Linked DNA regions of Styela clava. The protein of the gene in region 1 purifies or fractionates together with the protein of each later gene. This does not show direct contact. Links are inferred from orthologs where the notes say so. Each region holds a gene or a part of one and is shown on either strand. Other genes may lie near its edges. The genes, in order: tRNA (adenine(58)-N(1))-methyltransferase non-catalytic subunit TRM6-like and tRNA (adenine(58)-N(1))-methyltransferase catalytic subunit TRMT61A-like.

Region 1 (3,932 bases):
ATGACATTTTACCATCTTTTTCTGTTTCTTTGATGCTATAACTTGCAGTCTTCTCCTTTTCAAGTTGATCTATATCTCCAATAACATCTTTGAAATCTTTTCCTGCCAGCAATGGGCCAACTTTATTCAAAGGGAGCGAATTCAATGTTGCCCAATATGAGTCGTCATAGTTCATGTGTGTTATAGCATGAAAATTTGTCGGAGTTTCACCAGTATGTAGATTCACCACACAACCTGTAAAAGTATTATATGGTTAAAAGATAGTCATTGAAGTCCAGTGTTGTGTACAAGTCTTCAAACCCCAAGTCTCGAGTCCTCTAAGGTCCAATTGCGGGCCATCTGAATGTTAAGTCGAGGTGCCGCTCTTTTGAGTTATAATAGATTTTTTATACAACAGTAAAAAGAATAAATTTGAGTGGGTGTCGGAGTCAAGTGTCTCTGGCAGAAAGATGAGTCGGATTTCAGTTTAGCCCCTTTCGCTGAAAAGACTCAAGTTATGTCATTTAGAATCCAATCCCAAATTCCTTCCCGACGTAAGACAGATAGCTGGCGTTAGCCATTTGGGATAATCATAGCTACTATAATCATACTTTGCTAGCTATGGTGCCTGCTCAAAATCTCACAATCACAATGATGCAGATAGACAAGTGTTGGAAGGAGTGTGAAACTCCAATAATATCAATACCTTTTAACATTATCATTGCTTTGCCAGAATCTGCAATCATGCAATAAGATTACCTTTTCCTGCTAAGCGTTGCATGACGAGACTCAGAATTAGACCGGAACATGTTTCGATTACGATAGCTTTTGAGCCTGAGTGTATATTTGCCAAATTAATGATTTGCGATACAGTGTCAATCCTCATGTGACAAATTTTAGCTGGTTCCCTGCTTTCATACATTTTGCAGATAAGTCGTGCTGATGGCCTAAAATGATAAGTTACGAATGGTTGTTAAACCTAATTATCCGGTTAATTTAAATAGTAAATAATCTCACTTCAATATCCTAATGTTTGTTGAATGTTTTAATTTCTTCTTTTGTAAGTACTTTTTCTGTGAATAAATTGTCTTGCTGGAGAAAGTCGCACTGTTTTTAACAATTTCCTCTATTATTTCTTCTCCCTTTGCTCCACTTGATTTCATGCCAACAATCTCTTCTCGTTTGAGTGACTGAGACTTTCCGTGAGTGTCTTCTAGCAATCTGTTCATTTAATAAAACATGATGTCTGGTGATGAGTACCTAATTATTCCCCATAGACAAAGATTCATCCTAGCCGGTTCAGAAATTACTAAGGATTAATCATAAGCAAACCTACAAAGACATAAGAGCCTTTTGGTGAGTCACAAAACTAGGTCGATGTCATGATAAGTTCAAATTTCCATAAAATTATTATGGCATGGTATTCTTGTTTCTAAATTTTTACCAATAAAATGGGTTTCATCGTTCTCAAATTAAAAATTGAGTAAATAAAAAAAATAAATTGACCTGTTATCTTGTGCTGAGTTTGGCTTTTCCGCAGAACCATTGTCTCCTGAAGCAGCTTGTTCTGGTTTGCCGCGAGTTATAACATCTTCAACCTTCTCAAGTTGATTTGAAGATACTAAAATATATCATCTCTCAATAATGATTTTTCGGTATGGAATACTTTAGCACTGTTGCCACTAAGGATCTTCCACTATAGGATCAATAAAATAATATGAATTAAAAAAGTTTACGCCAACAAGACAAATAGCTATACTGTTATTTTATGAATTGATTCTAGAATAATATCAGATAACATTATGCAAAACCCTATAGTTCACTGCCAGTGGTGATAATTATTATAAGAAAGATGCCATATGCAAGATAACATAAATAGTTGTTTATTATTTTGAAATCTTTATTCGATTTACGGCATGTGCCTTTTAGGGAGGCTAAGAATAAAATATGGGGAAGGGGAAAATGTTTAATAAAACATATTGACATACAAAAATGTCTGTCTGACCCCTCTAATACAATAATAAATCATGCAGATACTGTTAATTCATGTAATTCTGATATAATTCAACTATAAGCCACGTCCGACCAGAAAAACAAAGCACTGCGTGTTAATAGAATCCAAAGATTTACCTTGAAACCACGAATTGTATGATTGTCCGATGGCGTTATCTGGTTTGAAATGCAGCTTTTCAAATACAATCTTTTTGCCGCGTTCTAGTTTAATCGCTTTCAACACTTTTCCTCTTTGTAAAACCACAGAAACATTTTCAGCGATAACATCCATATCTAAAACTATAGACAGACAAAATAGCAGCGCAGCAGGAAAGCGCACTTATTACAATGTGATGTGCAACATGTGCTTTGAATCGTTTCGATGATATCTAGCTGTGACGTAATGGACGGGAACTCGCCTGGTAAACGTTGCAATGTTGTGATCTTATGATGTGACGCGACTTACTGACTTATGATATGGCTGTGCTGCTGAATACCCAGAGTCAAGACAAATATAAGTGATTTGCAGCGCCTTCCATACTCCCATAATATAATAATCAACACAAGACTTTAGTTGTGCGTTAGTTCTACGATTGTCAAAAAGGATAAGTTTTTAGTTTTGGATTACAACAGCAATTTTTAATGTTGAGTTTTGAAATTTGTTTATGGGAAGGAAAAGAAAGTGCAGTCTGTTTTATGTCATTTCGGAACAGGTGCTATGCTTGAATAAAAGCTTCGAATTGGCCAGTGGAGTGTAACAGGCTAGTGTTCAGATTGTGTTTGTCTACTTTGTACATAATATAATATGGACATATTATGTCTTTATCCAGTGTTATTTTATTTGTTATTTGCGTATTGAATAATCCAATTTGTCCGATTTGTAGAACCTTTAGAAAAAACTAATCATTCAGAAGCTCGTCATTTTTCAGCTATGTGTCAACCATTTTATATCTCATGTAGATCTGCTGCAAATATAATTTTGTAAATCTGTAAATAGTCTCATTGCTCTATTGCATTCTACGTTTTTGACAAGGCTGTCTGTTGAACTGACTCAGAACAACAAAATAAGATATAAATTTTAAACCTATTTTTGAAGATTTTAGGGTTATAGTAGGACTTGTTGTCACATGCTTAAGATTCGTCCTAGTGCTGCAAAATTGCAAATTCCAATGGCTCAGCAGAATATTTCACAGATGACGTTGAGTTTTTCATTGCGATCTTTGCCGGTGACTCGAAGAACTATTGCATTTGGGATTACAGCTTGTATTTTTTTCATTTACTTGGGTCCGTTCTTCTACAGAAATGTCTTATCGTTGTTCACCTCTCAATCGAATGTGGATTCTTGTCTTGCAATGTGCGTATGAATTGTTAAAGTGATCTCATATTATTATTATTATTATGAATATTTCATTAATACTTATTGATGTGATCAGCTGATCACCTATTTCAATAATATATAAACAAATTTCAATAATATATGACAAAAACAGCCATAGGTTCTTATATGGACTGGGATCAATATGAACAGCTGTACTTTTTGTTGCGGGCGGGAATAATCCCTCATTTTGAAGTTTGATATATGTATCAAATTATTAAAAAAAAGCAATTATATATAAATACAAATTTTCTTTTAACTGATTCGTATTTTAAAATGGTTAACTTAATGATTGTCACCCAATTAAAATTTCAATTTCATTTTTTTAAATAATCAAATGCGTGTCACCTTCACTCTTTTAATGCATGAGGCTCTGATTTAAGCGGATTCTCTCAAAAACACTATCAAGCACAATCTGCCGTTAAATTCGAGTTTTGGTATCACTATTACCGACATTTCATTTTCAACTTTAGGCATCTAAAGCAACATGATATAGCAATCGGTGAACTTGATGCATACATCAATGATCATAACCAAGACGAACCGAGCCAACAAAATCGCCCTCCATTGCAATTTGTTGGTAATG
Region 2 (3,932 bases), on another chromosome or scaffold:
AAAAATCTCAAGATTTTGTGCTCTGCAGTGATTCTGCTATCTTCAAGCTCTCTTCGTAAGCTTCTTACCTTTACATGATATTGAAGCTTGCAGATCAAAGAGCAAGAATATTTCATTCGAACATACATACAGCACTTAATGATTTAGGTCAGGGGGTAAATTTCTAAATAGTTGGGATTGTTATTACACTCTCATTGTGGAGATGCTGCCAAGAAAAGATCGTATATTTACAAATACAAGGTGGTAAGAAACCTCCCAGGTGGGCAATGCTAGAGTAAAGGTTGAGAACCCCTTGTTATGTACTTGAACTCTAGATGGGCTGGTCTGAAAATTCTAATTCAATGTACAACACTGTTCTTAAGGTAGTAAGCTCGGGATTAGAACCCAAGATCTTAAGTCTGTGATGTCAATATAGTTGGGTGAAAGGCTTCAAGCACTAACCATTGTGCCCTTTTAAGCAGTTGGTTCACCACATGCTAAGTCTGGGCCATCTAAAGTTGTGGCTTTTGTTTATATATCCCACTCAGTGGTAGAATTCAAAATCTCCATGAGTGCTTGTACAGTAATGACCAATATAAAAGGGACTAGAAAAATTGCTTTAATGATTTGATTCCTGATGTGTAGTCATTTTCATTCTTGTGCTGGCATCCTTCCATTATACAGGGTGGCCCAAAAGTAGGTATACAGTTATTTTATTTATTTTTTATTACCTTCCAAGCAGCTAGAAAACTAATGTAAAATTCACACTAGATTTATTTTTAAAAAAATGAGCAATTTTTGTGGTACTTTACAAGTAACATAAAGTGATTTGCAGGTAGCTTCAAAGCATATAAAATAGTTCAATAACTGTTCACCTACTTTTGGGCCACCCTGTATGTATGCGAAGTGAAAAAGCGCAAGTATGTGTAGTTTCCGCCTTGTGTAACCCCCACTGATATGTAGTACTGAACCATGGTTGAATGAAATAAAAAAAAATAATCTGTCTGAAGGTAAATAAAGTATGTGTATTAAGGTTCTAACACTGATCCTAATTTACAGTTTCTAAATAAAAAATGAGTTTCAATAAATATAAAAGTCATGTGGAAGAAGGAGACACAGCTATTGTCTATACTGGCTTTGATTCTATGTTTCCTGTGACTGTAAACAGAGGCAAAACGACTCAAACGAAGTACGGAGCAATAAAACATGACTGGCTGGTTGGACATGAATTTGGTGCAAAATATCAATGTTCTAAGGTAGATTGAATATTTTTTTTAATCCACGTCATTGTAGAAATATAAGGTTCGGTGGGTTTTTATGTTTCAGCAATGTCAATGGTGTCAAGTTCTAGGAATATCTTTGCCATTGCTCTTGTGCAAAAGTTTGTTGGTTTGAATCCTGTATGGCAGGGCTACTCAACTATTTTCACCAAAGGTCCGTTTAAAAAACTTCAAAATTACTGGGGTCCGGACATTACAGAAAATTTATTTCATTGAATAAACGAGACTTCAAATGCAATATTAAATTAAATACAAGAGCAATGAATGGCTCACAAATGTTGCACATCGGTAGCTGCGTATTTAAATCGTATCAAAGTCATCTAAAACTTTATAAACGTTGCTTATATTGCCAAAATATATAAGCAGAGGCGGTCCAAATTAAATGGTCGAAAGGTCCGGATTTGGACCGCGGCCTGCCAGTTGAGTAGCCCTGCTGTATGGTATAGTTGTGTGTAAAATATTTCAAAGCTGAACTTCTTGTTGTGCTAGGGTGCTTCCTTTTTAGGGCTGATTGAATACATGCATCTGAATAACATCGGTCGTTGACTAGATATTGAGCACTGCCAAATAATCAAGCCATCTCATTGGCTTTCATCTATCCTATGTTACATATAAAACTTATTCATACTATCACACCTGGCAATTTTTTTTTAGAATCTCCTGGTGCAATGTTTTTCCGGAGTATACATTCTCCATTTTTCAAATATACCATATTTATTCCACTAGTTGGCTGACTAGAGTTTTTTGTTTAAGGAGGGTAGACACCAGTGTGAAAAAAGCCTACCAGGGCTGGCCTACTAGCTACATTTCAGTAAATTTCCAAGTAGTGGCAATTTTCTTCTAGAATATTCTGATGTGTAAGTGTTAAAAAAATACAATCCTAATCTTTTCCAGGGTTGGGTATACATTCTCCATTTTTTAAACATACCCTAATTATTTCACTAGATGGCTGAAGAGATATTTTGGCTTGAGGGGGTAGACATCAGAGTACTCCTGAAGCATGTGAACCAAGCTGGCGGACACCGAAACGTAGTATGTGTATCAGGTTAAGGTTAGGCCAGAATTTTAGGTACAAATACTATAGGAGTCACTTGGCTAGTCCCCGAACTCATAGCAGGACTAAAATTGGAATAAAATTATGGCCTAACTCTAACCTGATACACATACTGCGTACCGGCGTCTGCCATCTTGGTTCACGTACTTCAGGAATCCCGAAATCAGTGTGAAGAAACACTATAACATTGATCTTTTTTCTAGGGTTGGGTCTACATTCTCCATCCTACACCTGAGCTGTGGACGGTTAGTTTGCCACATCGCACTCAGATATTGTATGCCACTGATATTGCTATGGTTACTATGCAGTTGGATTTGAAGCCTGGATCAGTAGTTTGTGAATCAGGTGAGCCCACATAATTTTTATACATTTGTTCTTTTATAGGCACGATAGCCGTAACGATTTAGAGCAGTGGTTTCCAACCTATTCATTGCTATGGGCACGTCTGATGATGTCAGAATGTTGTGGAGCCATGACTATTACAGGGGATATGGTTTACATATTTATCCCGGGGGAGAGAAAAGCCGATAAGACGACTTAATGATATGGCGAACCCCAGCCTCTCGTCTGGTTTCCAGGTCAGGTATGGGATTAGTTAGCCAGTTATTTGTTTTCGGAAGCATGGACTTGATGGTGGAGGAAGCCGTAACCGACCAGCGGTTACGTGAACCACCCTACAGCGGCGAGGAGTCCAGCAATCCTCTCGCACATGATCATCCCCGCATGGAATTCGAACCTGCAATCCCACGAAGGGTAATCAGAGATGCGGTGACGAGCGTATTCCTTAACGCTTAGCACGATGTGCCACATCGCCGAGCTAATATGAAAAAGCTCTATTGGAAACATTTTCTTGCATGCAGAGGATCAAGCCCAATGACAAACAGTGTCAAATGTCTCGTTAATCAATGGATGGCTCAATTTTTTAATTAAATAAAATGATTATGCTTATAACCAAGAACTTGTGTCACCCTATAGACCTGACATTGACAAATCACAGCCCGTAGGCCAAATCCGGTCGTTGGGTAATTCAATCTGGCCCGCCTGATGCTGCCACAACCAAACTAAAACAAAATTTTGATGTTTTAGCTGAAAAATAGCTCAAGGAATTTGTTGATATTGCGATTAATGTTGGTCAAAGCTTTTTGCTTTCCACTTTTGCTTTTGTAACACTGTGAAAATTGTTCATAAAATGTGACTTTTACCTTACTGTTACCTGCCAGACTGGGCAAAATTTTTGGCCTTGTTATGACAGTTTATTTATTATAACCAAAATTATGGCTTTAAGAAACTAAAAACGCATCTTAACCTAAACACAAGAACATGCAACATAATTACATCAGGTCACTAAGTATAGCCAAACTTAATCGGACTACCGTCTAATACTCGTAACTAATGCAGTAAGGCAAATGCAGTCCGTTGTCGCTTGACGATAATCAGAGATCACAACACAAAGAACGATAATGTAATAATGTTTTAGGGTGAATATCTCTGATTTGAACTCCACCTAATAAATTTAAATAAGGATGTTAGAGACTGGACTTTCCAAAATCAATGGCTCCTAAATATAAGGGGCTTGTGCGAAACCTAATTTGGAATGAATGTTTGAAGACACCTTCTTA

Evidence for each region.
Region 2: the proteins of tRNA (adenine(58)-N(1))-methyltransferase non-catalytic subunit TRM6-like (region 1) and tRNA (adenine(58)-N(1))-methyltransferase catalytic subunit TRMT61A-like purify together in Homo sapiens (affinity purification with mass spectrometry; 4 studies listed by BioGRID and IntAct, counting the BioPlex papers as one, with this or other methods). This does not show direct contact. The link is inferred for Styela clava from reciprocal best matches to the Homo sapiens genes TRMT6 and TRMT61A.

The regions. Positions count from the first base shown.
Region 1 is NC_135258.1:11,834,406-11,838,337, reverse strand, and holds the start of tRNA (adenine(58)-N(1))-methyltransferase non-catalytic subunit TRM6-like, read right to left. Parts: upstream 2,705-3,932; 5' UTR 2,264-2,704; coding exon 2,110-2,263; intron 1,601-2,109; coding exon 1,486-1,600; intron 1,201-1,485; coding exon 997-1,200; intron 927-996; coding exon 739-926; intron 235-738; coding exon 1-234. Other genes in the region: uncharacterized protein KIAA2013 homolog, read left to right, coding at 3,099-3,325, 3,820-3,932. UniProt on the Homo sapiens protein: Substrate-binding subunit of tRNA (adenine-N(1)-)-methyltransferase, which catalyzes the formation of N(1)-methyladenine at position 58 (m1A58) in initiator methionyl-tRNA.
Region 2 is NC_135255.1:18,094,191-18,098,122, reverse strand, and holds the start of tRNA (adenine(58)-N(1))-methyltransferase catalytic subunit TRMT61A-like, read left to right. Parts: upstream 1-1,017; 5' UTR 1,018-1,052; coding exon 1,053-1,235; intron 1,236-2,516; coding exon 2,517-2,658; intron 2,659-3,932. UniProt on the Homo sapiens protein: Catalytic subunit of tRNA (adenine-N(1)-)-methyltransferase, which catalyzes the formation of N(1)-methyladenine at position 58 (m1A58) in initiator methionyl-tRNA.